Diceros bicornis minor: one gene and its partners. The protein of the gene in region 3 purifies or fractionates together with the protein of the main gene of each other region. This does not show direct contact. Links are inferred from orthologs where the notes say so. Each region holds a gene or a part of one and is shown on either strand. Other genes may lie near its edges.

Region 1 (9,738 bases), about 18 Mb from region 3:
TTTTTTAAAGCCTACCTGCACTAAAGGGAACACTTTCCCAGACCTTCAAAACAAAGCATCTACTGCACTTGAAAGAACTAGAGTCAGACATTCTTGGATTCAAATCTTGACTAATACTAACCTGGAGACCTTGAACAAGTTACTTAATCTTCTGGAGTTCAAGTTTTCCTCTTGTAAAATAGGAATAATAGTTACATTTCTACATTCAAGATCAGACCATGGAAATACAGGATTTTTATAAGGACAGGGATCCTGGCTATCCTTGAGGCAAGTATTATCTACCTATGTACGTAGACAGCTTCTGATCAAGATTTTAACAATGGGATACACACTGACAGGTAACTAATATTTACTGAGTGCCTCCTTTGTTGAACCCTCATCTACTTATAACCATTTAAATTCTCACAAATGAATCTAGTGGATAAATAAGGCCACACAAATCCAGGACTCTGGATTTCTGGTCCTGTCCCTTTCCACATTTCTGTAAATTATACGTAAGTCTAAGGTGAAGGCATGTGTTCATTTAGCAGCAACAAGCAACAAAGAACACATTAATGGAGTTGGAAATTTCACAACTATTTTTAAAACCATTAAGTGTTCTCTGGTCTGTCCCACAACTGATTGAGACCGACAGCACATCCTGCTGCCATCTCACCCATAGCGATGGCTGATTGCTCTGCCCTTCCCTGACAGCTCTCCAGGCCACAGATCAGACCCAGCAAGTGTTCTAAGAGGAAAGCCTGTCCACTGCATGCTGATCCCAAGCTACGTATTCATTCATCAATGCTTAACCACAATGCTACTTACTCCTTGCCCACCAAGCCCTCAAGCAGATATTAAAAGTGAACAAAGACTTCTGACCAAAAGGCTAAAAACTGGATGGTAGGGGGTACTGTATGCAGGGCTACAAGGAGTAACTGATATATGTGGCTGAGACCCATCACATTTGTACTATACACTGAGACATGGCTAGGACTTCTCAGGATGAGCAAGACTAAGCAGGCACAGGGGATAAGTTCAGGAGCTGAAAAGTTCAAGTATACTGAGTATCATAAGCTCTAAAGCCAGAGAGGACATTACAAGGCAGAAGTGCTCCAAGACCTCCCTTTTAATTAATATACCTAGAGCAGAAACATCTGGGGGGTAGCCCATGATTAAGCAATGAGCAGCTCCCTGTTTTAGATTCTATCAGAAGAGATTTAGGGGCTGGCCCGGTGGCTCATAGCTGTTAAGTTTGCGCACTCCACTCCCGGGAGCAGTTCACAGCTTCTGATCCCAGGCGCGGACCAACGCACTGCTTGTCAAGCCATGCTGTGGCGGCGTCCCATATAAAGTAGAGGAAAATAGGCACAGATGTTAGCCCAGGGCCAATCTTCCTCAGCAAAAAGAGGAGGATTGGCAACGGATGTTAGCTCAGGGCTAATCTTCCTCACCAAAAACAAAACAAAACAAAACAAAAAAAGAGAGATTTAGAAGCAACTCTGCCAAACTTCTGACAAGTCACAATCTTGAATTAATCTCATCTGTAAAAAGAATCTGACTTAAAGCATGAGAAACACCATCTGTTGCTCTGCGCTAGTTAATAGGCCAGATGCTCTACATGCTCAGCTCATCACCTGAATCTCACAACCACTTGAGAAAGTATTCGAGTATCATTATTCCCTTTCAAATTAGTAGTTCCAGAAAAAAAAAACTTGGTGACATAAGTCTTAAAGCTGTGATCTCACCTGGTCGAGTTCTAAACCACCTATCAAAAAATATGTTTACTAAGTACCACCATGTTCATTTGTAGCCAAGGAATTGGCAACGAACTGAAGACAGGTACCTGCTCTGATGGAACTTAACTAGAACTTAACTTACGGGACTTAACTAAATGTCTCGCACACAAAAATTACCACCGACATCAAGGTTTTTTTTTTTTTTTGGTGCGGGGGGCGGGGACGGGCAGTGTCAACAAGGAAGTGAGCTGAAGATGACTGGATCAGAGCATTCCAGGCAAGTGGCACAGCAAGTACAAAGGATCTGAGGCACAAAGGAAGGGGTATAGGTCAGAGCGAGAAACCAAGAACTGAAAGGAATAGACAGCTGGGGCAGGCACCGTTAGGGTGGACTATAAATTCCAGGACAGGGCTTTTGTTTCTATAGGCACGTGAGGTGGTCTATAACTAGCTGCTGCACTTGCTGGGGAAATGGCAGGGTAACATACAAAGCCCCCCCCCCCCTTACACTGGAAGCCAGTGAAGAACTTAAGTAGGCAAGTGACAAGATTCACATTTTTAAAAGATGGGCCCTGGCTTCAATGTGGCAAATACATTTAAAGAGTAAGAGAGCAAGACAAATACAGTAAGATCAGACAGAGAAGAAAATGATCTCTAAGACAGCAAGAGCAGAACTTAAATTGCAGATATTTATCTCACAGTGCCTCCCCAAGGAAACAGGCTTCAACAGGCCGTGACAATGGTAAAATTATTGTTCCATTTTTCAACAAAGTCAGAAGCCCTTCAACTCTCCACCAGACGATAAGGAAAACTCTGTTTCTCTACTCACCCTTCTTTCTGAGCTCTGGTTTGCCTTTCTTGACTGTGGCCATCACCATGTCACCCACACCAGCAGCAGGAAGTCTGTTCAGTCGTCCCTTGATCCCCTTCACAGAGATGATATACAGATTTTTGGCTCCTATAAAAGGATGTAAACAAAAACGAATCTTTTCGACAGCCTGTTAGGCAGTTCTGTTCGGTTCGGTGTAATATTTCCCCAACACTTCCAGAGCCACTCCACTCACACTCCCAAGCAGCGAGTCCCGAGGGAGAACACCCTGTCACACCACCGATTGAAGCGAAACAACACAACATGCTGCCGCTTCACCCAAAAGCGGTGTTTTCACTCTGCCCTTTCTTGACGGCTCAGTGGGTCATTAGCAAAAGGCCCACTGAGTGCTTTTAAAAGGGGGAGTTTGGCGGGGTGTAGCCGCAGGTCTCACCTGTGTTGTCAGCACAGTTGATCACGGCTCCTACCGGAAGACCCAAAGAAATCCGGAATTTCGCACCGGAGGACCCACCACGTCCTGTGGGTAGGAAGAGAAACAGGAGAGGTCACACAGGTTAAGTCATGTTTCGGAGTTCCCTTCACCTTCTCAAGCTGTACACAGCTTTATTCGCATATGCCTTAGGAAACGGTACACTATAGATTCGCTATCTCTAGGACTCCACTTACTCCCTTCCCATGTGCCACCCAGCTCTCACGGCAAAGAGCCAATTCCTCACTATTACCACCCCTACGTTGAGATTAAGGGGCCTGGACGACTCAATCCTCGCTCCAACTCGTGCACCAGGTAGCTCTTCCTCCAAGGCGGCAGACCGCACAAGTCTCCCACTCTGCGGCCTAAGCCAGTCCAACTGCAACCCCATTACTGCAGCGGGGTGCGGAGCGATCCCGCGGAGTTCGGTCTAGAATCATGTCCGGATCCCGCCAGCTCAACTCTGCAGGCCTGCCCTCGCCACTTTCGGCGGCCCTTCCAGTGTTCTCGCGGTGCCCCTCCTCTCCCTCTCCGGCCCGGAGGAGAGCAAAGCGCCCCAGCTGCCTATGGCCGCCACTCCCGGCGAGGCCAGCAGCCACCTCGCGACAGATGGCGAAGGATCCCCCAGAGCGAAAAACTCACCTCTCTTGGACATCTTGAAGGCCGGAAGGGGACAGAAAGGAAGTAGCAACAAAGGACACTGGGATATGAACTTTGACGCACCGCCCACTCTCGTCACGTGCCTCGGGGTTCGCTCGACACGCCTCGTCCCCCAGGTCGCTGTGTTATTACGTAGTAAGTCCTGGACGTCGGCTTGTGATGTCGCTGCGAAGTGGGAGGTCGAGGGGTTGGGGGCTGCAGAAGTGAATGAGGGCCCGTCTCCTCTTTACGAGCTCGAAAGTAGTTGGGCACACAGAAACATTGGTTTGTTAACTTAGCCAATAACCTCGTTTGAGCACTTAGTATGTGGCAGGGACTTCGTGGACACTAGAGGTTCAGAAATGATTAAAACGTTCTGTGCTGTGTAGGGGCCCCCAAAGAACACAGGGTGTGGGGGGCCGAGGGAGAAAGAGCCTTAAACGGTTTCATTAGGATGTGATATAATTTCCCTAGATGTGCGCTTGATCCCGCACCCATCTGTATTTTGGATATCTTGCTTTATTAATTACCCCTTTCACAGCTTCAACCTCCCCATTTTTCTGGCTTCTTTCCTTCTGTCGATATGTTCATTCAAATATTTATTTAGCGCCTACTTTATGCCAGATACTGTCCTGGGCATACATGAGACTACATCAGGGAACAAAACAGATAAACCTTCTTGTCCTTATGGAAGGTACATTCTGCTGGGGGGGTGGTGAAGGTGGATATTAGACCCTAAAAAATAGATATAATAATTACAGTATATAGTATGATAGTGACTAGTATTATGAAAAAATAAAAGTAGAACAAGGTAACAGGGATCAGATCGTGGGCAGAGGGCCAGACTGCAATTTAAAATAGAATGTTCAGTGTGGGCTTCATGGGAGAAGTTGACATTAGAGCAAGGACTTTAAGGTGAAGGAGTTAGCAATGTCCAGGGAAGAGGAACTGGATCATGTAAGGCTTTGTACACCACTGTGGACTTCCTCATTTACCGACTGAAATGGGGAACCGTTACTGGTTTCAAGCAGAGGAGGGACATAATCTGACTTGTGTGTCAGAAGGATCACTCTAGACTGGGAGGGGACACATACAGGTAAGGAGAGCTATTTAGGAAGCTCTTGGAGAAACCTAGAAGAAACACGATGGTGGTTTGGACTAGAGTGATAGCAGTAGGGGTAATGTGATGTGGTCAGGTTCTGGATGTGTTTTGAAGGTATAGTCAACAAAATCTGGGATGTGAAAGAAAGAGAGGAGTCAAGATGTCTTCGAGGCTTTAGGTCAAAGCAAGTGGAAGATGGCGTTGCCATCGACCGAGATGGGGAAGGCTGTGAGAGGAACAGGTTTGAGGGATAAGAGTAGGAATTCAGTTTTGGATGTGTTGAGGTAGATGTCGATTAGACAACCAAATGAGATTCAAATAGCAAGTTGGACATATTAGCCTGGAGTTCTGGAGAGAAGGAGATATAAATTTGGGAGTTGTCAGCATATAGGTATATTTAAAGCCGTGATACTGGATGAGACCATAAAGTAAGAGTAAATAATCTACACAGAAATCAAAATATAATGAAATTCCTCGCATTTCTGAATGTATGATTTCCTTATCAAATTTGTCTCTCTCAATAAATGGAACCACCATCCATCCAGGTGTCCATCTGAGATTCCTGGCCAAGGACTTTTCAGTCTTCCTTCTAAATGTCTCTCAAATGTATCTACTTCTCTGGGGCCGGCCCCATGGCTTAGCGGTTAAGTGCGCATGCTCTGCTACTGGCGGCCGTGGTTGGATCCTGGGCGCGCACCCACGCACCGCTTTTCTGGCCATGCTGAGGCCACGTCCCACATACAGCAAGTAGAAGGATGTGCAACTATGACATACAACTATCTACTGGGGCTTTGAGGGAAAAAAAAGGAGGAGGATTGGCAATAGATGTTAGCTCAGAGCCCGTCTTCCTCACCAAAAAGAGGAGGATTAGCATGGATGTTAGCTCAGGGCTGATCTTCCTTACAAAAAAAAAAAATGTATCCACTTCTCTCCATCTCCTCTACTACCACTCTGGTCTAAGGCACCTCCATCTCTTGCCTAAACTACTTCTGAAGGCTCCTAAGATATCTCCTAGCCTCTATTTCTCCCCTCTCCGTCCACTCTTCATACAAAGGCCAGGAATAATTTTTCAAAAATATAAATATTATAATATCACTGTCCTGAAAATCCTCCAATGGTGTCTATTGTTCTTAGAATCAAAGTTAAAATCCATATCATGTCCTACCAGCTCCTGATCTGGCATCATCCTACCTTGTCGACCTCATCTTGCACCATGCTCTCTCTTGCTCTGCAGGGTTGGCTTTTTAGTCTTAGATACTGCCCGTGTTCTTGAATACCCATAGGCTTCACACGTTCTTGGAATATGCCACCCTGCCTACCCTTATCATGTATTTCATGTCTACTGATTTTTCAGATCTCAGCTTGCATATCTCTTTCTTAGGGAAATCTGCCATGACTCCCATATTAGGTCAGATGCCCTTGTTATAAGTTCTCTTAACATGCTGTATTTTTCCTTCATACTATTTGTTACAACTCCTAAATATATATTTGATGATTATTTGTTGAATGACCTCTCCCACACACACAACTAGTCTATAACTAGTCTATAAGCTCCATAAGGGCTGGGTCCATATCCTTTTTCTTCAATAGTATATCCCCAGCACTTAGCATAGGGCCTGGCTCGATAAATACGTGCTGAATGATTGCTGAACAAATGAAGAAGTCTATCTCAATGGTCTCCATATGTCAGCATCGTTGCATGAAGAAGTTTTCATTCATCTATAGCAAAATTAGAAATATTTGGAAAATATAGTATTTCTTATAAAGCTACATTTGCTCAGTTTAAAGGACTGCCTGTTATTCTGAGATTATCTTCTTCTATCGTTTTTGGTGTTAAAAATGTGCCTTTCAATCCTATATCAGCTTTCCACCCTCCCAATGCCACCATATTTTTTGTGTGTGATAATTTCAATGGTTCATGAAAACCAAAGGTCTGGGAAATGATCAGTCTCTACTTCCTTACTTCCTGCATGCACACATTCCTTGAACCCCTGTAATCTAGTTTTTGTCCTCACTACTTGACTGAAATTATACTAGAAATTATACATATTGAAAAATTATACTAGAAAGCTCACCATGACCTGCTCATTTTCAAAATCCAAGGACGCTCCTCAGTCTTTATATTACTTGAACTCCACAGCATTTCACACTGGGACGATTCCCATCTTCTTAGGGTTTCCATGATGCTAATAATAATAGAAGTTAATATTTATGGGGTGTTACCAGGTACCAGGCATTGAGTTAAGCATTTTACGGGAATGTAACATCTTGGATCTTCCCAACAACCCTGTGCTGTAGGTATTGTTATTTTTTTTTAAGACTTTTTTTTTTTTTTTTGTGAGGAAGATCAGCCCTGAGCTAACATCCATGCCAATCCTCCTCTCTTTGCTGAGGAAGACCGGTCCTGAGCTAACATCTATTGCCAATCCTCCTCCTTTTTCTCCCCAAAGCCCCAGTAGATAGTTGTATGTTATAGTTGCACATCCTTCTAATTGCTGTACGTGGGACCCCGCCTTAGCATGGCCCGACAAGCGGTGCGTTGGTGCGCGCCTGGGATCCGAACCGGGGCTGCCGGTAGTGGAGCGCGCACACTTGACCGCTAAGAGGTATTGTTATTACCTCATTTTACAGATGAGAAAACTGAGAAATAGAAAGATTAGGCCATGTGTCCAAAATCACACATATCACGAAAGGCAAAGCTAGAATGCCACCCCAAGTCTGGCTGATTCCAAAGCACAGGCTCTAAGCAACTGTGCTATACTGCCCTCTTCTCCTTCCCCATGGTCCCTTCTTATTGTGTTTCCGTGGGTGATCACACCCCCCTAATAGCTTCAATTACCGTCTATATGCTGATCTCGCCCCAGTCTGTGTCTCCAGTCCAGACATTGCTGCTTAGCTCTAGCCAATATATGGAACTGGTGATTGGGACACTTCCACCCCACAGGCACTTCAAACCTGACATGTCCAAAACAGAAATCATCATTTTCCCAGAAAATCAGCTTTTCTGCCTGTATTAGTTTTTTTTTGGTTGGTGCTACCACGAGCATCTCAACCAGAAAACAGGGACACAATTTATTCTCCTCTTCCCCCAGGCTCCCAGATCTAATGACCAAGGTCTACTGATTTGATTCTACTTCCTAAATTTTTCTGTCCACGCATCCAAAAGTCTGCCCTTGTTTCAAGGCTATTGCAATAGCCTCCAAATGGTCTAACTCGAACCTCCCATTGCTTAAAACCCTGTGCCAGCCCTCTAGCACTTACAGAATATAAAGCCCAAGCTCCTTAGCACAGCATTGGAGTCTCTTCCTGAAATGGCGTATCTTCTCCCTGGCCTCATCTCCCATCACCTTGCCTCTTACACTTCACACTCCAGCAACACCAAACTGCTTAGGATTTCGGGACTCTTTCTTGCTTTATCCACTACATGTTCTTCCAAACTCTACTCAAATGTCATCTCTTCCCTGTGCCATTTCACAACCCCAGCATGCTCTCCCCCCAGCCCCCTCTTTACTTAGAGCAGTGATTCGCAAATATTTTCATCTGAAGACCCCTTTACATTCTTAAAGTATTGAGGACCCTAAAGAATTTTTGTTTATATAGGTTATATCTATCTATTGACATTTACCAGACTAGAAATATAAAATCGTGAAATGTTTAAGTATTTTGTTAATTCATTTAAGATAATAATAAGCCCATTACTTGTTAAAATACATAACATTTTTAAATGAAAAATAACTACATTTTTCCAAACAAAAATAATTGAATGAGAAGAGTGGCTTTGCTTTACATTCTTTTGGAATCCCTTTAATATCTGGCTTAATGAAAGACAGCTGGATTTTCATGTTTCCACATTTAATCTGTTGTGATATCACGCATCAGGTAGCCTCAGGAAAGCTCCACTTTATACTCATGAAAGAACAAAAGTGAAACAGGTAAATAATGTAATATTATGAAATTCATTCTTCTGTTAGAAAGGTGTCCGAGACACCTAAGAATCCCAAGGCCACACTTTGAGAACCACTGATCTACAGGACACCAGAAATGTTTTACATATCACATTGTAGAGTAATTCCTTTATTTGCATGTTGACCTCAGTATTAGAACATGAAATCCATGACACTATAATTTACCTGTTACTTTCTGTAGTCCCAGCACACACCACAGAATGGACAGGGTACTTGCCAAGTTATTACCTTTCTTTCCTACCATCTTGTGGGTCTTAGGGCTTAAAAGTGAAGACACTAGGGGGCACCCGGATTTGAACCGGGGACCTCTTGATCTGCAGTCAAATGCTCTACCCCTGAGCTATACCCCCTCTGCTGGAAGAAAAGAGATTACAGCTTAATTGTGGTGTTTACTGACCAGGCATCGCCTCTGGTGATTAACAGTAGTTTGCTATTTATGATCAGCTGCTTCAGGTTTTAAGTGGTAGTAAAGAACCAAAAGAAGATTGCAGAGGCAGTCTGGACCCAAGTAGTGGGAAAGAAGGGCGAACTCCACTCTGACCCAGGCTTGAAGGTCCTATAGGAGTGTGCGATGGGATTCCTCTCCTCCATCAATTACAGCCTTTTCTACCTCTGGCACCTAATTTCCATCCTCTCTGCCTGCAACCTGAGCTGCACCTAATCCCCAGCCTAATGCTTTGCACACAAGAGGAATTGCTTCCCTTATCCTTCTCAAGACCCTCTCTGCTCCTGTACTAGACGTGCCCCCATTGTCTCCATTCTCTCCAGCATCTTCAATCACTTCCTCTCCCCTGGCTCCTTCAAACATCAACAGGTTTCCCCTAGATTGGAAAATCCTTCCTTTAGCTGTGATCGCCTGTCCATTTCTTCTATCTCACTACCAATTTTTAAGACAGGCTGTGACTTCATTTCTCTCATTATCTACTACTTGTCTCCGCAAAAAGTTCTGCTACTCTCCACATTTGCTTTCTCGACCGAGTTATTTTTTCCCTTGGAGTATGTATCTTGTTTCTCCA
Region 2 (10,092 bases), on a different chromosome or scaffold from region 3:
ACCTGTAAACATAAAAGCTGAAATATTAAATACCAACATATTAAAAAATTATTCAATAGCTATAAATTGAGGATTATATCCTCATTTTATAAGTATGCATACTCCTATGTAATTAGGTAAACTGGCAAAGCCATGATAATTGTCATTTGAACTTCCCAAGGACTAAATTATACATACACACGTTTGAATACTGACTGGATTGTTTAAGATAACCAAGGAATTACTGCCATTTTTCTTTTAAATAGTGGTATTAAAGATATGTTAAAAAAAAAAAGAGTCCTTATCTTTTCAGATACATCTTTTAAGATACATACTGAAATATTTATAGAAGAAATGATGTGATGTCTAGTATTTGCATCAAAATAATACAAGGAAGGGAGTTAAGTGGGGATAGAGGTGAAACTAACTGGCCAATAACTGCTGAAGCTGCATGATGGCTACACGGGGGTTCAGTATACTCTTCTGAATATTTATGCATACATTGAATTTTTCCATAGTAACAAGTTTTTTTAAGGGGAAAAAAATGTTCGAAATGTGCTACAACTTTGTGGTTCCTGACAAGCAAATGATTTATAAAACAAGTTTTCTGACTTACACCTTATCCTACATCTTGAAAATAAAGACTCACTATACAAGTAGAGTTAACCTGCTAAGGAAAAACACAGCTTCTTTCAGGTTTAGAATTTTAAGAATTATGTATTTTGAACTATAAAACCCAGTGCCACAAATAACAAGTTCTTTTTACAAAAATATGAAAGCAACTTACTTGAAAATAAATTTTAGATGGACTAAAGATTTAAAGTGAAAGAAATGAGAAAGTACTAGAAGGAAACAAATAGTATATTAGGGTAAAGGGCTTTTAAAATTTTTTCTGCAAAAACAATTTTTTGAAGGATTAATATGCAGTTTAATAAAGAACTATCACAAATCATTAAGATAACACAACAGAAAAAAATGGGCAAGATATGAAGAAAAAGTTTTAAAAAATGATATGCAATAAAAATATTCATAAAAAAAGATGTTCAACCTCAACAGTAACCAAGGAAATACAAATCAAAAAGTAAGATATTGTCTGTCATTGAAAAGACTCAAGACAGCCAGTGTTGAAAAGGATATGGGAAAAGCCATCAACCTCATACACTGTCCTCTTTGGAAGAGGATTGGACCACACTATCAAAAATTTTAATGTGCACACCCTTTCACTCAGCAATTCTATTTCTAGTAGGATATCCTAAAGAATTAGTCCTACATGTGCTCCAAGTTGTAGAAAGAAGAACTTTCAGGCCATAACTGACGCAAAATTTTAAATATGTCCATCAACATGCAAGTAGTTACACAAATTACGGTACGTACAATGGCATATAATACAGCTGTTTTTCAAGTACAGTTGACTTACACACTGACAAAATTTATAAGTGAAAAATGAAATCAGAGAAAAAGGAATATAGTTTTACCCCATACTGGGGGAGCATACATATACATACTTATATTTTAGACACACACACACACACACACACACAAAAGGACTAGCAGGACATGCAAACTGTTAAGTGAGGTTATCTCTGGAGAGGGTCATGTGGAGGTACTTAAATCTTCTCTAAATAGAATCTAGGGGGCCAGCCCTGTAGCATAGTGGTTAAGTCCCAGGCACTCTGCTTTTGCGGCCCGGGTTTGCAGGTTTGGATCCCCGGCACCGATCTACACCACTTGTCAAGCCATGTTGTGGGGGCGACCCACATACAAAATAGAGGAAGAATGGCACAGATGTTACCTCAGGGCTAATCTTTCTCAAGCAAAAAAAGAAAAAGATTGGCAATGGATGTTAGCTCAGAGCAAATCTTCCTCACCAAAAAAAAAAAAAAAAAAAGTTTTCCCATATTCACTCTTTTTCCACCCTCCACTCTTTCATTCTTCATGCTGCAGCAGTGCATTTTTATCAATCACAAATCCGACCCGTTTAAAAATCTTTAACGGCCTTGCTCCATGATGGAGCTCCTTCTACCCGCCTGACCCTGCTGGCAACCCATTCCCAGCTGCTCACTCTGCTCAAGTGCCCCTTCTGCTCAGCCCAAGAATCTTTCTCACTGTGGACATTTTTTTTGCGTTAGCTGTTCCATTCTTCTGGAATGCTCTTTTTCCACTTCCCCTCTCCCCCGCCCTCTCCCACTTCCTCAGAAATGTACTCCCCAAGACTCCTGAGTCCTAATTAGGTGCTCCTTTTAGCACCTTAGCCTTTTCTTTATAACACTTAAGGAAACTGTAACTAAATACCCAATAGCTTATTTTTTTTACTAGGTATTTACCCCTCTACGACTCAAGGATGGCTCCTAGTCTGACTCCTTCACCACTACGACCCAGCTAGCATAGCAATCTGCATATTAGGCGCTCAATAAAGAACCTATCTTGACACTAAAATAATACAGTGGAATTTTTGCATAGTAGTATTATATGGTTTTTTTAAAAAAAATACTAGTTTTTAATCTGTGATTTCTAAGTTTTCTGCAATGAACTAACAAGAAGGGTTTCCTTTACGACCATAAAAATGCAAATAGAAATAATCCACTATCTAAATTAACTGAAAATTTTTTTTTAAAATACATATCTAAAATTTAAGTTTGTCATGAAATGTGTATACTCTCATACCCGACTGGTGGCCACAATCTTTGGTAAGCAATTGATTTTTGATAAAGCAATATACCAATGTATAACAAGTGCCATGAAGATATTAACCTTTTGTCCCAGTAATCCCAATACAGAAAATGTTTGGAAGAGAATAATTCAACAGAAGTTACATCATTTTCTAATGAAGTTTATCTATAAAAAGAAGAAAACCCTGCCAACTAGCTTATCTGTACAAATAATCCACTATGTTAGCTAGGGTTCAGCAACGTGTTAGTTATGTTAGAAATAAGTGTTACGGGTAATTTTTTCCCCGAATTCTTAAAAAAAAATACTTTGGATATTAATTTAAGATGCTGTCAAACGGTTTAAAAGACTTGATCTTCTTGCTCTCAAGTAAAATTCATGAGACTTGGTAACCACGAAGATAGTGACAGATACAATTAATGTTGACACACCCAAGAACCATCATCAACACGCCCACCGCCACCAGTGGGGGCGGGGAGGGCCCTGCAGACCTCGTCACCGCGGGGCACACACCTGCCTCGCACGATTTCCAAGCGGCTCAAGTTTTAGTCAAACGCAAATTAGTCCCAAAAGGACGCTCGAGCTTTTGTTACAAGACCGTGACACCAACTCAACGTGTGTTTTCTCCTTGTCCTGCCACAGCCGCCTCGCGCGCCGCCCCCACCACGCCCGCGACCCCGGCGGCGACCGGCACACAGCGACCGGCTTCGCCTCGGGCGCTCGCTCCGGCCGCGCCGCTCGACAGCGCCCGAAACTCGGAGGCCCTGCCCATTGGCCGCCGCCGCCCCTCCCCTCTCGGCGGGTTTAATGTTTTGCGGGCCAGCCCGGGAAGCGCGGGGCAGCCGGAGGGCAGCACGGCGCGAGCGCGGAGGCCGGCCGGGGAGGGGGGTCCCGGGCCGCGAGGGGCGCGGGGGCAGCCGGTGCGGCCGGGGCCGCTGGGCCCCGCGCTTACCTGGGCTGGGGACGACGGCGCGGCGGCGAAGGGGGCGCGGGGCGCCGGCGACGAGACGGGAGAGGTCCGAGCGAGGCTGAGGAGGGGGCGGCTCCTCTGGAGACGCCAAGAAATGGCGGCCTGAGGCGCACACCCACTCCGCGCTAATCCCCCGAGGACCCCGGCCGCCGGCCCGCCCGCCCCTTAAAGCCCCCTCTAAGCTCCGCCCTCGAGGGCGGGGCGCTCCGCTCTTAAATGGGCAATGACACCGCCCCGGAAATCGACCGGCTGGGCGAGACTCAGGTTAAACCGGCGATGCCAGGCCGGGCCGACCTGCAACCCGCGCTAGCGGCCTGGAGTCCGCTGCTGATTTAAAGGGGCGCTGCCGAAACGCAGCCCTGGCTATCTGACTTCCGCCCTCCGAGGGGGTGCGCGCCCGCAACGAGCCCCGAAATTAGTCCTGTCACAAAGGCGGCTTAGAGCGGTGGGAGCCCAGCGTCAGGTGCTGCTAGATTCGTTCATCCATTCGTTCAAGAAATTAATTCATTCAGCAGATATTTACTCCCTGCTGTTAAGGGAACTTTCATTCTAGTGAGGAGGAAGATGGTAACAAATACATGTATCAAGCAGAAAAATAAAGATGGAAATGGGAAATAGGTTTCTATTTAATACAGTGTGGTCAGGGAGATCCTCTGTGACAAGGTGACATTTCATCCATTCTTTCTACAGATAATTTACGGAAGTGCCTGGGCCAGGCTGTGTTTTAGACACTGGAGATACAAAGGATAAACAAGACAGACAAAAATCCCTCCTGCAGCTTCAGTGCTAGCAGGAGAGACAGAACATAAATGAGATAAATTAGTAAAATTAAATAAAAATAAATACTGTCTTTGCATCATCGAGTGGATGCTGACTCCTCTCCACCCTGTGTACAGCAGAGTCCACACTATGACAACCAACAGGCTTCTGAAGGCTGGTGTGGTTCCCTGACCAGAAACGAACCGGGCCGCCACAGTGACAGCACCGAATCTTAACCACCAGACCACCAGGGCTGGCTAAATACTCTGTTAGGCACTGTTAATGATAAATAGAAAAACAAATACAGGGAATAGGGAGAGGGAATGAGGGGTGGTAATTTTAGATAGACTGGCTAGGTAAGGAGGAAGCTCTCGATAAGAAGGTGGCCTTTGAGTGAAGACCTGAAGGAGGTGAAGGAGCAGCCTGTGGACGTCTAGGGGAGAGCCAAGGGACGAGCACAGGCCCTGCGAGGTGCCTGCTTGGCCTGCTCGAGGAACGCCAGTGTGCTGAGAGGTGAGGGAGCAAAGGAAAGAGTGTTAGGAGGTAAGTCAGAGAGGAGGGGGGTGTCCTGTGTGCCCTGGTCAGAGCTCTGAGGGCTGTGGGGAGTCACTGGAGGTGTTAAGTGGAGGACCCTGCTGGCTGAACTGAGAAGAGACAAATATTCATCGACCCCTTGTGGAGACTTGGCACTGCCCATTCCTCCACCACCCCAAGACTTAATAGTCAGGGGTGCCGGGGACAGCTGGGCTCTGCCCCACCCAGTCTTGGCGGGGGCAGCTCAGCAGGAGCTGCAGTTGCCCAAATGGCTTCCCTCAGCTCTGTGGCCTCTCAGCTGGGGTGGCTGAAATGAACAGCTGAGTTCTGCCTGGGCCTGGCTTTCCAGCAGGGTAGTTGGGGTTCAGCCCTCTAAAAGAGTGAAAACTGAAGCTCCAAGGCCTATTAAGGGAAATGCCCGGAAGTCACACAGTATCACCTGTGTTGCCTGTTATTGGTCAAAGCAAGTCACAGGGCAGACCAGTTTCAAGAGGGATGGAAACAAGATTCCACCTCTTTTTTTTTTTCTTTTAATAGTATTAGAGAAATTTTCTTTCTCTACTTTTTAAAAACAGCCCTATTGAAATATGTCACATATGATGATACAATTCACCCATTTAAAGTGTACACTTCAGTGGCTTTTAGTACATTCACAAAGTTGTGCAACCATCACTGCAATCTAATTGTAGAACATTTTCGTCATCTCTCATGGGAGGAGCAGCGTGGGCATGCAGGGCTGGGAGGAATTGTTGGGGGTCACCTTTGCATCTTTATCTCAATAAGAAAGCCATGATCGTGAGAAGGAAGGAAGCAGTGGACACATAGATGAAACATGAATGGGCCATGTGTTCAAGCTGGGTAAGTAGGTACATTAAACTATTTTGTCTATTTTATGTATGGGTTTAAATTTTTTCCATAATAAAAAGTTTTTTAAAAAATTCTATCTGGGCCATGTACTCCTTGGAAAACCTTCATGTCTCTCCAGGGCTCTGATTACCCCAGTTTGAAAACTGTACAGTCTTGAGTGCCATCCCCTCCAGCACCCCCATCAGAGCTGTCTCCCTCCAAGTATTACCCAGTGTTACCCAGCATCTCCAGCTGTTTGAAAGTCGTAGTGTAATTTATTTGTTTACTGATCAATAATGGAAGAATTTTCTGTCAATACTTAGAAACCTCCCTCATTATCCCAAACTGTTGCACAGCCCACCCGTTTAGAGAAAGTGTCCTCTTCTCCCCTTCTGCTCAGTCCTTTTTTCTACCTCCTGTCAAGGGTAGGGTTGAGGGAGGCAGTGGATGAGGTGAGAGGAATAGGTTGAGAAAGGTGGTTCCAGGCTCAAGGAAATATAAAGAGTTGGGGGAGGGAGAATGACACCTAAGGCCCTAAGTCACAGGAAGTTCTGTGTGCTCTAATCATGGGAGATTATTCCTAATAACAATTAACACTTTCCCAAATCCTCTCTCCCAGAGATAAGTACCCTCTGCAATATCCCTATTTTGTGGTAAATTAGCTCACTAATTGACTCCCACCAGAGACAAAGTTTCTCTCCTTGAACACAGCCAAATTAAGTAAAAATGCATTTGGCTGCAAATAATAGAGAATATAATTAACTGTACTTAAATAAGGAGTTTATTTTTCTCACATAAATAGTCTAGAGGTAGGTGGCTGCCTAGTATGGGTTCAGCTCCTCAAAAACACTATAAGGATCCTAAACTCTCTTACTCTTTCCATTCTGCCATCCTTAGCATGTACAGTCTGGTTTTTATGCTGCTAGCCTACTGGCCACAGGAGGGCTGCAGCATCTCCAGCTGTCCTATCTGAGTTTCAGAAGTGAAAGGAAGGGGGGAAAAGACCTTTTCTTCCTGAAGCCTAGTCTTTTAATTCAGGAAGGAAGTCCTACCACCCCCGTCTCACTGGCCAGAACGAGATGACCTGCCCATACTTAGACCAATTACTGACCACAGGAAAGAGAACACTGTGATTGGTTTAGACTGATAATAATTCACTCTTGAAGTTTGGGGAAGGGCCTGCTCTCTCTGAGATCAAGGTTCTCCATTAACTTCTTGAACAAATCCAATTTCTATTAGCAGGAAAGAGGGGGTGTTGCCAGGAAGAATGACTGTGGGTACGCTATACAGGGTGCCTACCACAATGACCCACTTTTTGGTGGCATAGTCCTGGCCCATGAAAAGATTTTCCTTTATTGAACTAACACCCTCACCCTAGATCTCCACGTCTATCTTAGGTCCTGATTTGCTTCCCGGAGCCACAGAGAAAGGGTTAGATTCAGATTTTGTGGGTTCTGAAAATCATACAATTTAGGAGGCAGCTCTTTAAGTGAAATAACACAAATTTAAGGAATCAAAATTAGGTACAGGGTCTTGGAAGGGGCCCACACAAGTAAGGAGCCCTAAAGCTTAAATCTGATTATCTTCATGGTAAATCTGCCTCTGCCCACAAGAAGAAACATAATCCCTCTTTCACATCACAGCCCTTCAAATAGTTGAGGACATTTGTCCAAGCCTGCAAAATCTTCTCCTCTTGTTCTGATTTCCAAGCTCTTTACTTTCTGGGTCAGCTTCTCTGAATTGGTCCACACTGGTCGGGCCCTTCATGCCAAAGGTGTTCTGAGCAGAGCAGAGCAGAGCAGAGAGAACATCCATATGAGATTCAGGCCTCCTGGAGACTGAAGGAGCCCTGCATTCCAAAGCCTCCATTGAAAAGAAAATATGCTCAGGAGAGTGTGTATCACGAAGAATTCATATATCAGACACTGGATCGAAGTGTTCAAAAATGCACACGAAATGAATCAAAAAACAAAACCAGTCATCAGGAAACACCACTGAGAGAGAGAATTTTATTAGCATACTGCAAAGAGTCTAGGCTTCAGTTCACAAGCTAAAAGATCTAAAACAACTTTAAAGTCTGTAAAGTGAGAATGATACCACCTTCCTCACAGGGTAGTTATGAGTGTTACAGAAAATAAGTTATCTGAAAATGTTTTCAGAAGTATACAACACAACATATAAGATAATGTAAATTTTACAGACCAAGGAACAAAAATACCTGGGTACTGAAAATAGAAGACGAGGGTTTCCCAAAATCAGGCCGTGGCCTGGGCCTAACTTCATGCAATTGGGTAGCTCCTTTTACCCAGCTAAGTCTTTCCTAAGCCACAATCTCATGTTTGAAAGTCCATCCTTCCTCTCTTTGCAAGTATTCCTGGGAGGAGTAAGACCTTAAACAAATTCATGCCACATGGACTAATTGAAGGATCTTAAAAGAATGGGGGTAGAGGTATTCAGAGAAGGGACATGGAAGGGTGAATTGAAGACAAGTCACTTCTTTCTCCAAAGCACTCAGGCTTTTCCCTACTTCTGGAGACTCAGGGCAAAAGACCTAAGCATCCATATTTCATGCATCACTTTATTCAGAATTATCTGGAACAGAGCCCTATTGATGTGGTGGCCTATGCTCCTTCTTAATCTTGATAGGAAGAAAAATTCAGAAAACCTTGGGTGGCTCCAGGCAAGTTCATAATATTGAGTAATAAAGAGCAAAGTGAAAACATTTTGCCATTAGGTTTGCCCAAGGGTGAAACCATGATGAGACTGGGAGACTCAAAAGAAGAAGAAGGAAGGAGCCAAGGTTCAGTGCCTCTAAAGCTAAGTGCATATGAGTCACCTGGAGATCCTGTTAAAAGGTTTATCTCTGGGGTGGGGCCTGAGAGTCTGCATTACCCGTAGCTTGCAGTTTGTTGGTACTGCTCATTAGTGGTCTTCATTTTGAGTAAGGAGGTCGTTAGATGACTGCCCCCACACCTGTGACTATTGCTTGACACCAGGGCCTGTGAAGGTATTAGGATACCATACAGTAGAAAGATCGGTGGTGACCCCCCTACCACTAACTCACTTGGACAAGGATTCATCTTTTCTGGCATTGGTTTTCTCATCTATAAAATGAGGTAATTAGAACACATGATTCCTGAAATCTTTTCTGGATCTTAAAAGCTGTGATTCTATACATATTCCAATATCTAAGAGGATGTCATTTAATTTCACATAAACCAAATACACAAAAATACTGAGTTTAGATATATATTAATTTAAAGTTTTGTTAAAAAATAACCCAAACCTCAAGTTTCCTTTAAAGAGAGAATCTTATCATATTTTAAATGCCTATTTTCCAAAATTTGATTTAGAAATCTGAGGTCAGGTTAAAGTAATGACAATAATTTTTCAAACAATTTCAAACATATAAATTGGTACTTCCCAACTAATTTGTTGGGAAGGGGGAAATTTCCCTCTTCCCTTCTTGGTTCTTTTGGCTGGACAAATAATTAAAATGATGTAAGACAGATTAACAGGAGAAAATCAAATTTAATTATGTACATACAGGAAATCCACATTAACATAAGAGATGTCAAAGACAGTCAGGCAAAATGAGATATATATGTCAATCTGGTCTAAGGAGAAGGGGGCAAGGATCTGGGATTTCAAAGAGAAGGAAGGCAATTCACAAGAAGAATGAAAAGAGTAAATGCTTGATAAACAAATGTTTGCTGGGGCATCCAGAAACAATGGGACACAGAGAAGACATTGATCAAACTGGCCCTGCTAGGTTCCTTCTTGTCTATCACACCTAGTTCATGTTAGTCTATAGTTATCTATAGTGATATCTCCTTCCTGGAACAGGTCCTCTACCTAAATTCTTTTAGGCAGTTAGGGTGAAGGTTAAAGGTTCTTCCTGAGTCTTTTTTTTTCTCTTAAAAATAATCAGCCTGAAATAATCCTTTTGCCAAAGAGATGTGTTTTGGGGTGACAAATTCTGCTCCCCTTAAAAATAATTTCTCTCAAAGAATATTGAATTTGGCTGTAGAGTCAGACAGACCTGCTCTAGTCTCTGCGGCTCCATTTGCTAGTTAGTTAACTTCCAGAAAGATACTTAAACTCTGAGTTTCAATTTCCTCATCTATAAAATGGGGATATAGTTGTGAGGATCAAATACAATGGAGGGAAATGTACAGTTTAGGGACATTATAGCTCGTTCTTAGTGCTACTAATGCTTGAGAAAGTGGGAGAGTAATGGTAAGAGATAGAGTGGGTATTCACAGGTCTCTGTATTTTTCCATGGTAGCAAATCTATTTCCTCTGAGGGTGGTTTGGTTCCCAGCAACAACCAAAAG
Region 3 (10,134 bases):
CTGCATCTTGGTTACCCTTACCTAACTTCTTCCTACTGCATCACAAGAACAATTGCTTTTAATGGGTCCAGCACCTGGACAAGCGAGGCAAGCAAACTTCACATGCTACGATGCTACACCTAAATAGCTTTCCCCATGGAAATGTTGGTCTGAGTAGGAGCCAAAAATAAACCGAAAAGCCAATACCTGAGGGACCTGTCATCAGGTATGCTACACACACACATAGCCTCACAACAGCTGGGTGATCACAGACAGACAGCTTTAATTTAGAGACATGAAATCTCAAACCCCACGAGACCTTGAATGTCATGGCAACTAAAGCAAAAGAAACAAGAGATGGGAAAACTAAACAGGGAGCTCCCAAACCTGGACTCACAGACAGCAGTCTGCTCTCTTCCTTACGGGGGCCATTCTGTCCAACGATGACAGGTGGAGAAGAGAAAGATCCACCATGTCTAGCCAGTGCTCAAGAAGGCCAAGAGGCTGTTGGCATTTGGCTTTATTCCAAAATTTTACTCAAAGGCTGACCACTGATAGGGAGGGGGTAAGTTTCTGCAGAGGAGATCCGTGGCCAAACGGGAAAAGTTTCAAGTGGATAAATCAGCTACTATGCTGAGGAGGTCAGGAGACTGAGGGAAGGAAGGAGCACAAGCTGCGCGCCTCTTTTAAGTCCTAAAGAAGCTTAACTTTGGCTGCTGGAAGCCTCAGGAACTGGACCATAAATTCCACAGTTCCAAGGAAGAACTACTTATTTTGTTTCTGTTGATAATTTTCATGGAAGTGGCCAGAAGACAGTAGGACTTGTTGGCTAGCCTCTTCACCTCTCTTTTTGAATTTGTTCATTAAAAACTTAATGAGTTTAACTTAAAACTTAACAAGAGACTAATCGTAAGCCTTTACTCATTGCCCACCAAATAAACATGAAAACTACAAAAATATTCCACAGCCTACTAAACATTTCACATTAAAAGGGCACTATTTAAAAAATTCCAATAGGTGGCAGCTTTAAAAAAAATGTTTCCCAAAACTGTCACTACATTATTCTATCAATAATTGGGTTCTCAAATCTCATAACCAGATTAGGGATGGAGCAAGAATCAGAACCTAAATGCTCAGTCTCAGTCTAATGGTCTTTCCATTACAGCACACTGTCACCTCAATGGATTTATAAACAATGGGAGGCGAGAAGGAAAATCTTCCTAAGCCACAGTGCTGCAAGGTCCCAGGACCCATTCTACCACCCTAATCGGTGGCCAGGAGCAAAGCAGGAGAGACGTTCAGATGACCAGGGTCATTTGTGCCTAGGGCTCATAGTAACAGAGAGCTACGTATCACGTATAAACTTTCCCCCCAAACAAACCCATTCACAAGTCCTAGAAGAAGAACTGGGTCCTGCCATCTATAAATGGACACTGCACACCACCACTTCCAAGAATTCCTGTGCCCCTTAGCTTCTGCTAAGCTCAGAAGCTACAGAAACTACAATTGCAAAGAAAACACCACCACTAGAGCCACAATGGATTTTAACAAATTCAAAGCAAGTCACAAGAGGGCAGCTCCAAACTATATCCAAGCTGGTGCCTTAAAGTTATTTTCTATTTAATTTCAAAATAGGTATTTTAAGTCAAACTTCATATAATTACACATGGTGGGGGAGGCAGACGGAATGTAACTGTAAACAAAGTCAGCCACCAAAATCAAGATGAACAGGAGCAACTGATAAACATGGCAGCTCCCGGTAGTGTGCTGGGCTTGCCTCCTGAGTCCCAGGGCAGGAGGCCACGACACAGTCAAATGAGTTGCATTCCAGAAGTCACAAACCTCTAGAGAAGATGGTTAGGGAAAAACATATTTTAAAATCCCACAGAAAGACACTAACAACCATTTGCTAGTAAAACAATGCACAAAGACAGGACATACAGCAAAAATCTTCTCTTCTTGACATAATACTGGGGGTAATTTTTAACAAGCATTCTGCTCCAAAAAATAATATCTTCCACATACTTTTGCACATGAGCTTATAATTTCCTCCCCGAATCAGAGAAGCTATTGCCTGATTTGCATTTCTCTGAGGGGAAGCCAGGAGTCCTGTGTGCGGATTTCTGTCTGTGGATGCATGCGCACTGGCAAGGAAAAAGATCCTGCTGGTATCAGCAGTCACTTCTGCCACTAGGAAATGGATCACAGGCTCTTCCTGGGAGTGGGGCCTTTTCCCCTGCCTGAGCCATCATCACAGTCCCCCTTTGTAGTGTGGCATGAAAGCCGCATTCCTCTGTGGCCTTTGTCCCCCAGGGTGTGAGAAACCCAGATTAACTTCTAAAGTCCCTTCCCCTGAAATCAGACCTCTCAACATCCCAGGCAGCTGAAACAGCCCAGGCCTGATTCCTGCTTATAAATGTTTTCTTGAAGGGGAGAAGATGAAGAAGGGTTGAAAGATACAGGGGTGTGTGTGTGAACCACTGATAGGAATTCACACTCAGGAAAACAAGACACGAAAAGCCACCAAACCAACCTTAGTTCAAGGTTTCAGGTTTATGATGATAAACCTCTTTGTTTTTGTAAAACTGCAATATTCACCAGCCTCAACCCAATACCATTTGGGAGTCTGATGTCTGCTTAACAGCCTCTAGTCAAGAAAAACCCTTCAGATTTCCAAATGGGTGGCTCTCCTCCATCCATGGTTCTACAGTATTTTTTTCAAGAAGTCCAACTACACTTAGGAGTCATCAATCCCAATCGCAGCTGTCACATCACCCCCCCCAGTACTATTAATATCACGGCACTGATAATGATTTTACTCACAAAGTTCCCCGCAGCAATTAAAATGAGGCAATAAGATAAAACCAAAAGGAGTTGGGTTTCTTCACCCATAATAATGCATTCTATAATCTAGTGAACTTCTTGGGCTTTTACAGTGCCCGAGTTTTTCACCTCTATCCTTGTTTCGGAATGCCCACAACCCCTCCCTGCACCGACCCGGCAGGGCCTTCCTCTCCGGATGCACAATGCAGTATGTAGCTCCTCAGGGGTCAGCAAAGCGCCGCGCTGGGGTAACGCCAGCGTGCCTCAGAGCCCCAGGGGTTCCCCACCGTGGTGGGTCCACGTTCACAATCCTGAGGCCGACACTACAGCATAGCACAACATGGCTCGGAAGTCCCTTCGCGTGGGGAAGCCGGGGCCCGGTGGCCCAGGGCTGGTGCAATGACTTTGCACCGGAGCGTCCCCTCCGCTGAGGCTTGTACTCTCACCTCGCCCCACTGCAGCTGCACCATTCTGGGCAGCGCCTCGCACACCTCCCCTCCCTGCCCTCCCCGGCCTAGGGCTCGAGCAGCTAACTCCGTCCTCCCGCCGGCCCCTGTCCGCCCGCCGCACCTTGGTCTCCTTCACGTGCTGCTTGACGCCCTCCGGGTACCACTGAACGCGCACGTAGCCGCGGCGCAGCGGGCTGGCCCTGCCCTCCTCGTGGCCCGCGCCGCCCGCCTCGGAGCAGCCCGAGCTCCCGCGGCCCTCCTCCTCGCCCTCCGAGTCCGAGTCCTCGCCGTGGATGAGGCGCACCAGCCCGAAGTGCACCGAGCCGCGGTAACGGCCCGACACCAGGTCGTGAGAGAACAGCAGCCGCTGCGAGCCGGCTTCGGGGCCGGAGTCTGAGGACGGCCCGGAGGCCGAGTCCGGGGCGGGAGCCGGCGCCGGGGTGGGGGCTGCGTCCGGGGCCTGGGCCGCGGCCGGGGCCTGGGCAGGAGCCGGAGCTGCGGGTGCGGGCGCTGCGGGATCCGCCATAACTGCTCTGTGCGAGTCTCGGGAGGAGGCGGCGGCGGCGGCTGCGGCGACAGCGGCGGCGAACGAGGCACGGGGAGGCGGGGCCGGCCGGCGCCAGGGGCGGGGCCACGGCGCGCTGACGTGTCCCTACGTGCAGCCGTCGTCAGGGAACCGAGTTGCGGTTGCTAGGAGCTACTGCCCCGTCGCTAGGGGACGCTGGAGATGCTGCCGGGACGAGGGGAAAGGACGGACTCCAAGAAGGAGGGGCGGGGCCAGAGGGCGTAAGAATAAAGGCAGCGGGAAGGGGTGGGGACCCAGGAGGAGGCAGTGGAGTGGTCACCGAGGAAAAGGGGAGTGGCCAAGGCGGGGCGGAGGATGGTCCTGAGTCTGTCAACAACAGTTAAATGAGCTCTCTTGGCGTCTCCGGCCTAGTCCTAGGCACTGGGAGAGATACGGAAAAAGCAAGATACAGTCCCTGTCCTCTAGGTGTTTATAATCTAGTTAGACAAAACATACATACATTAAAAGGCTAAAAAGCAACTCCAAGGCAGCTTGTAAGCAAGGCTATAATAGATATGTATAGCGTGTATCTAGAATGTATTGTATTAGGGAATTCCATGCAAAGCTTGGAAGGTCATGACCTCTTAGGGATTGGTCAAAGAGTTGGCAAAGGAGGCCCAGAGAAAGATCAGAAAGATAAGCAAGTATTAGTGGCCCCTGTGGTTTGGCTTTCAGCTCATTTAGATGAGCTCAAAGCTCCAGGAGGCTTAGTATGCATGGCAAGAGGTAGCATAGCAAGGTAGTTAAGAGTGGGAGCCATGGATTCCAATTTTTGGCACTGCCACTTACTAATCTTATAGAGGTGGGCAAGCTGATAAACTTCTTTTCACTTTAATTTTCTCATCTGTAAAATAGGGGTGATAATGCAGTACCTGTCTCATCAGGCAGTTGGGAGGATTAAACGAAATAGAACAGTGCCTGGCATCTAGTTCCCTCAATAAAGCTTAACTGCATTATAATATTTCAACCCCACCCCCTGCTTCCACCTAGACTAAAATTCTAAATTGGCAGAACTGTTATACTTATGGTCTGCTCCATATTGCCATTTTAAAATATAAAAAGTAATTATACTAATGTGTCCCCTAAGTAAGTTCCAAAAGCTTTAGATACATTCTCAGAGGACAGATTCATAATGGGTTGCTAAAAGGAAGTTAAGACTACTCAAGACATGGCCCTAGCCTTTCTCAGTCAAAATAATTTTTTCCACATTTTTCTGTAAGATCATCAATGACAGATTAGTAAAATGGTTCAATATTACAGTATTTAGGTTCTTTAAAAGAGGCAGGGGCTGGCCCAGTGGTGCAGCGGTTAAGTGCGCGCGCTTCACTTCCGGCGGCCCAGGGTTCGCAGGTTCAGATCCCAGGCGTGCACCGACACACAGCTTGTCAAGCCATGCTGTGGCGGTGTCCCATATAAAGTAGAGGAAGATGGGCATGGATGTTAGCCCAGGGCCAATCTTCCTCAGCAAAAAGAGGGTGATTGGCATTGGATGTTAGCTCAGGGCTGATCTTCCTCACACACACACACACACAAAAGGCAGGATCCCTGTTCTTTGGGTAGTTTACAGGCTGCCAAGGATATAGAATTACACACATGGAAAAGTTTAAGCACATACATGAAGCACAGATGGCAGCCTAAGTACCTAAGATGACCTGAGCCAAGTACTTAGAGAGTATTGGGGTAATATTGGGCTTGGAGTAATTGACAGTGGACCCAAATCTTAGAAAACTCACATACTAAGATATAGAAAAACTGAGGCTAAATGAGCTGAAGGAGAATTAGGATACGATTTAGGGGCAAAGCTAGGTTCGTAAATCATAGACTTCCCATCCCAGACCACAAGGCAGAATGACCATCTAGAATCATTGCTGTCAGGACTCAGTTCCCCACTCTCTCCCCCATAAAGACCTGGGAGGCTTAGTAGCAATAACATAGTAGTTTCTGTTCCACCTACCATGCTCCTTTAGCCCTATCTCCTAGGCTCCTGATAAACTAACATTTGTTGAGCACCTATTATTGACCAGGCACTATGCCAGGCACATTCACATATATTGTCTTCTTTGTTATCACAATTCTGGATACAGGTGTGGTTAACACCATATTACCAATGAGGAAACAAGGCCCAAGGAATTCAGCACTTAGGGTCACAAGGTAGTAACCAGCCGAGCTAGGTTGGAACCCGCGTTTCCAAGCTCCAAGTGCAGGGGCTTTTCTAGTTCCTGTGTCCATCTGGGGATGGGGGGTGAGCAAGTAGGCTGAAGGGGCAAGGCAATGCAGGCCCAAAATCTTTGTTGGATGTCAAAAATCCAAGTGAGTTTTGCATTCTACTCCAGCTTATGCCTGTGTTTGTTTTAATATGAAAAGAATGTCCTTTCCTCCTTAATTGTTGAGTAAAATTGGTACTCCAGGAAGATGTGCCTTGTTTATTCTGCATCTTGTAATAATGGCTAATAATAGCTACCATTTATTGAGCTGTAATTTAATACCACATACTATACTAAGTGCTTTACATAGATTACCCACCTTTATGTGGATTATCCCCCTGTGAAAGAGAAAGTATGAGCCCCCCTTTTGTGAAGCACCATGCCACGCTGTGCTGTTCCTACCACCACCACCAGGAACCTGCTAGGTTGTAGGTAAGAGCCCTTGATTTCACATGCAGATCTCTCCCTTACTAAACCCCTTTTTAGCATGTGGATCATGTCATATTTGTGTGTGTAACACTGGTGCCTGGCACAGTGTTGGTGCTCAGTAATGTAGCATATTGGTGGGTGTCAAAGGCCTGAGATTCCTGCTCCTCCATTTGGTCAGTTTCCTGTCCTCCCCTCCAGACACCCAAGGAGCTGCCCGTGCTATCACTAAGCCCTTTCTATCACCCCCAGTTTGAGTTTCATCTGAGCCCTTTTAGAAAGAGAGGCTCCATACATTCCTACACCCCTCATGGTGTCCTTCAGTGACCTCACTCAGACCTGAGATACTCCAGACAAGGTTTGAGGCTTGACTCCTTCCCAGACCCTGAGCCCCCAGCTACAGTCACTGCACACCCAGGCTGGTGAGTGGAGTGAGCCCAGATGGGAGTGTCTGCTTAGTTTTTATTTCCATAATTGTTGAATGAAAAAAACCTTCATTCCGTAATGGAGAAACCCCCTCCTCTCATGGCCCGAACACCCAGCCCTTCTTGGGGAATAGAGATGCTTCTTGGGAGAATTTTGCTTATTTACAAACGTGCCTGCCTGAAACTGAGCCAGCCTGGCCACTCCCCTTGCTAAGGGGCTGGCAGGGTACAGGACATAGCAGAGCTGGCAGCAAAGTGAACTGATCTCGGGGAAGCAGGCCCTGTCTTGTTCCTATCTTAACCGGCCACTGGGCCATCTCTTCAGACTCACGAAGTGTGCACGGGTCCCACACTGCCCCCTAGGGGAGCCCCACCTGCTTGGCCTCTCCAAGCCTGCCTGTAGGAGCAAATCCAGACAGACCCAGAGAACTCCTTCCACCCTGGAGTGGTGTCTGGGGGCTCTAGGGTGCCTTGAGCACTGGGGGTTTCATCTGGGAAGGTGGGTGGGAGGGGAGCTACCCCAGGGAGCCCTCTCACATCCTCAGGGGCTGGCTGGAGAAATGCCTCTGCTTGAGGCTCCAGCTGTGGGTTGCTCAAGAATTATGGGTTTTCAGAGTTAAAGGGGTCCTTCTTGCTCCTGGAGCCTCACCCCTCCTTACATTGAATCCCTGGGAGAACCAGTGGGACTTGCCCAAGGTCACCTTGCAGTACAGTCAGGATCAGGACTCAGGCCGGCCCTTGGCCATTCTCACTCCTGACTATGAGGAATGGTTGCAATCTACTGGGCAAAACACTTTGTGGTGGGGGCAACTGTGAAAAGGCTGAGCAATAAGTAAGAGCCCAGGATTGGCAGGCTCGCCCTGTTTCCCTCCTTCCTGAGGATACAGGAGCCAGGGACAGCAAATCTGCTGGACTAGCTTGAGAACAGTAGGGCTGCTGTCGCTCAACCATGCCACCCTCTTCACCACCAAGTCCCAAATCACCAGACCAGGGCCTTCCTCTCACCTCAATTCATGGGTACTTCCTGGATGACCAACCATAGGTACAACGTGACATCTCCCCAAACTCGTTCCTTCTCCCAGAGTTCTCATCCAGGTTGATGGCAGCATCACCTACCTGGGTACCCAGTTGGCCACCTGAGGGTTAGCCCTCAGTCTTAAGCTCCACATGCCATCAAAGCTCAGGTCATGACCCCTCAACCCCCTTTTCACACTCCCCAAGTCCAGAGCTGCTCTGCTGGGGGCTGCTCTGCAGGGAGGTGGGGAGGTGGGGTGGCGGTACAGCAGTGCAGCGGCTAAGCATGAGGTTCTAGAGTCAGTTGGACCTAGGTTTGAAGCTCGTGCTGCCACTGACTCACTATGTGACCTTGGGCAAGTTATTTTACTTCTCTGAGCTTCAGTTTCCTTTCTGTTAAATGGGAATAATAATAGTACCTACTTCTTAGGGCTGCTGAGAATTTAACTGCCATGATGAAGATAAAGAGCTTTGCATGGTGCCTGTATGATGTACCAGCCTGATAAACATTACCTGCTGTTGTTAGTTCATCTCCACTGCTTGCCTACACTGCTGCGTGGTCTCTTCACCATGCCCTGGCCACTAATCTATCTGCCCCGTTGTCCCTGGGAGACTGAAAATACGCATGATCATCCGACTTCTTGGCTTAATATCTTTCTATGGCTCTCATGGTCTACCAGAGAATGACACGTGTGCTCTTCATGAATTGATTCCTCTATCTACCTCCAACCCCATCTTCTACCTCTGCACCCAGTGCACACACTCCATGCTCCAGCCTCAGCTGCCTACTTCAGGATCCCAACTTTTTGGTGCCTTTGTGCCTTTTCACTTGTTCATCATCTGCCTGCCTGGAATTTTTTATTCTACTACTTCAACCCCTGTTCCTACCTAAAGAACTCCTTTTCATCTTACAAGACCCAGCTTGGGCCTTCTTATCTATGAAGACTTCCAAACACTTATTCCCTGTGCTGTATAGTATTCCCTGGTACTACCTGTGTGATTTTACTACCCTCTATTAGCCTGGTAACACCTGTGTGATTGTACTTATTGCCCTCGATTACAACTAGTTTTTGTACTCCTGTCTCTCCCACAGGACCATGAACACCTTAAGGACAGGGACTGTGTCTTCTCCATCTTTGTATCCCAGCATCCAGCACAGATCTGACTCATAGTAGGTGCTCAAAACATCTTTGTTGAATGATTGAACAAAATACGCCAACCTCTCCTAATGGCCCTAAAGGCATCAACAGGTCTCTGGGACACCTCTGTCTTTCCTCAAGTCCACAGCTCTCCATTTTTCCTAGATATGGAGAGGAACATACACACACCCCACACATGCACACTCACATCACACATACATCCACACTCACCCCACATGCATGCACACACATCCACACACACACGCTGTTGCTCTCTCCTTCGCCTTTAGCCTCTAGATCTCGCTGCCCATTACGGTAGCCGCTAATCATATGTGGCTCTTGAGCACTTGAAATGTGACTGGTCTGAGTTGACATGTGCTGTAAGTGTAAAACACACACTGAATTTTGAAGATCCAGTGCAGAAAAAAAGAATATAAAATATCTCATTAATAGTTTTATATTGATTACTTGTTGAAATGACAATACTTTATATGTATGAGGTTAAATAAAATATATTATTAAAATCAAGTTCACCTGTTTCTTTTGGCTTTTTTCGCATTTTCAATTTTGTAGAAAATTGAAAATCACATATGGGGCTCACATGATCTTTCTATTGGACAGCGGGGCTCCAGATGCTCAGGAAGCCGTGGTCCCTTCTTTCTCCAGGAGGTGGCGATCCCTCCCTACCTTTGACACCTCCCTTCCAGGAAGGTCTGGAAGGTTCCTGAGGAGACTGCCTAGGTAATATGGCAGATATTGAACTCCAAATAAAGACAGGGCCCCACTCAGCCCTGCAGTGAAGCCAGCCTATCTATGCAGAGAAGGCTTCAAAATAAGTCCACAGGAAGTCAAGAAGCTAAGTGCCATCCTCCTCAACAGAAGAATCAACACCCAGTTGATAGACTCATACTCTGTAGGCAGCACAATGCCACACTTTCAACATGGTCTGTTTTCCAGGGTCTTATAACCCGGCTGGGGAGATGGGCATGCAGTGGATGCTGTGTGCACAGCCCAAGTCCACCTTCAGGTCTGAGGAACTCCTTCCCCCAGCTGTGTCCCTCTCCAAGGACTACCCTGGGCTGAAAGAAGATGCCTGTCCCATCCAATGAC

Evidence for each region. The genes of interacting proteins can lie anywhere in the genome.
Region 1: the proteins of UBE2O (region 3) and RPL23 purify together in Homo sapiens (affinity purification with mass spectrometry; 3 studies listed by BioGRID and IntAct, with this or other methods). This does not show direct contact. The link is inferred for Diceros bicornis minor from reciprocal best matches to the Homo sapiens genes UBE2O and RPL23.
Region 2: the proteins of UBE2O (region 3) and EPB41L5 purify together in Homo sapiens (affinity purification with mass spectrometry; 3 studies listed by BioGRID and IntAct, counting the BioPlex papers as one, with this or other methods). This does not show direct contact. The link is inferred for Diceros bicornis minor from reciprocal best matches to the Homo sapiens genes UBE2O and EPB41L5.

The regions. Positions count from the first base shown.
Region 1 is NC_080757.1:38,773,521-38,783,258, forward strand, and holds the start of RPL23 (large ribosomal subunit protein uL14), read right to left. Parts: upstream 3,737-9,738; 5' UTR 3,672-3,736; coding exon 3,659-3,671; intron 3,065-3,658; coding exon 2,981-3,064; intron 2,950-2,980; exon of another isoform or gene 2,814-2,949; intron 2,677-2,813; coding exon 2,548-2,676; intron 1-2,547.
Region 2 is NC_080749.1:12,668,149-12,678,240, forward strand, and holds the start of EPB41L5 (band 4.1-like protein 5), read right to left. Parts: upstream 3,737-10,092; 5' UTR 3,599-3,736; intron 1-3,598. UniProt on the Homo sapiens protein: Plays a role in the formation and organization of tight junctions during the establishment of polarity in epithelial cells.
Region 3 is NC_080757.1:56,740,677-56,750,810, forward strand, and holds the start of UBE2O ((E3-independent) E2 ubiquitin-conjugating enzyme), read right to left. Parts: upstream 3,821-10,134; 5' UTR 3,778-3,820; coding exon 3,373-3,777; intron 1-3,372. UniProt on the Homo sapiens protein: E2/E3 hybrid ubiquitin-protein ligase that displays both E2 and E3 ligase activities and mediates monoubiquitination of target proteins. Negatively regulates TRAF6-mediated NF-kappa-B activation independently of its E2 activity.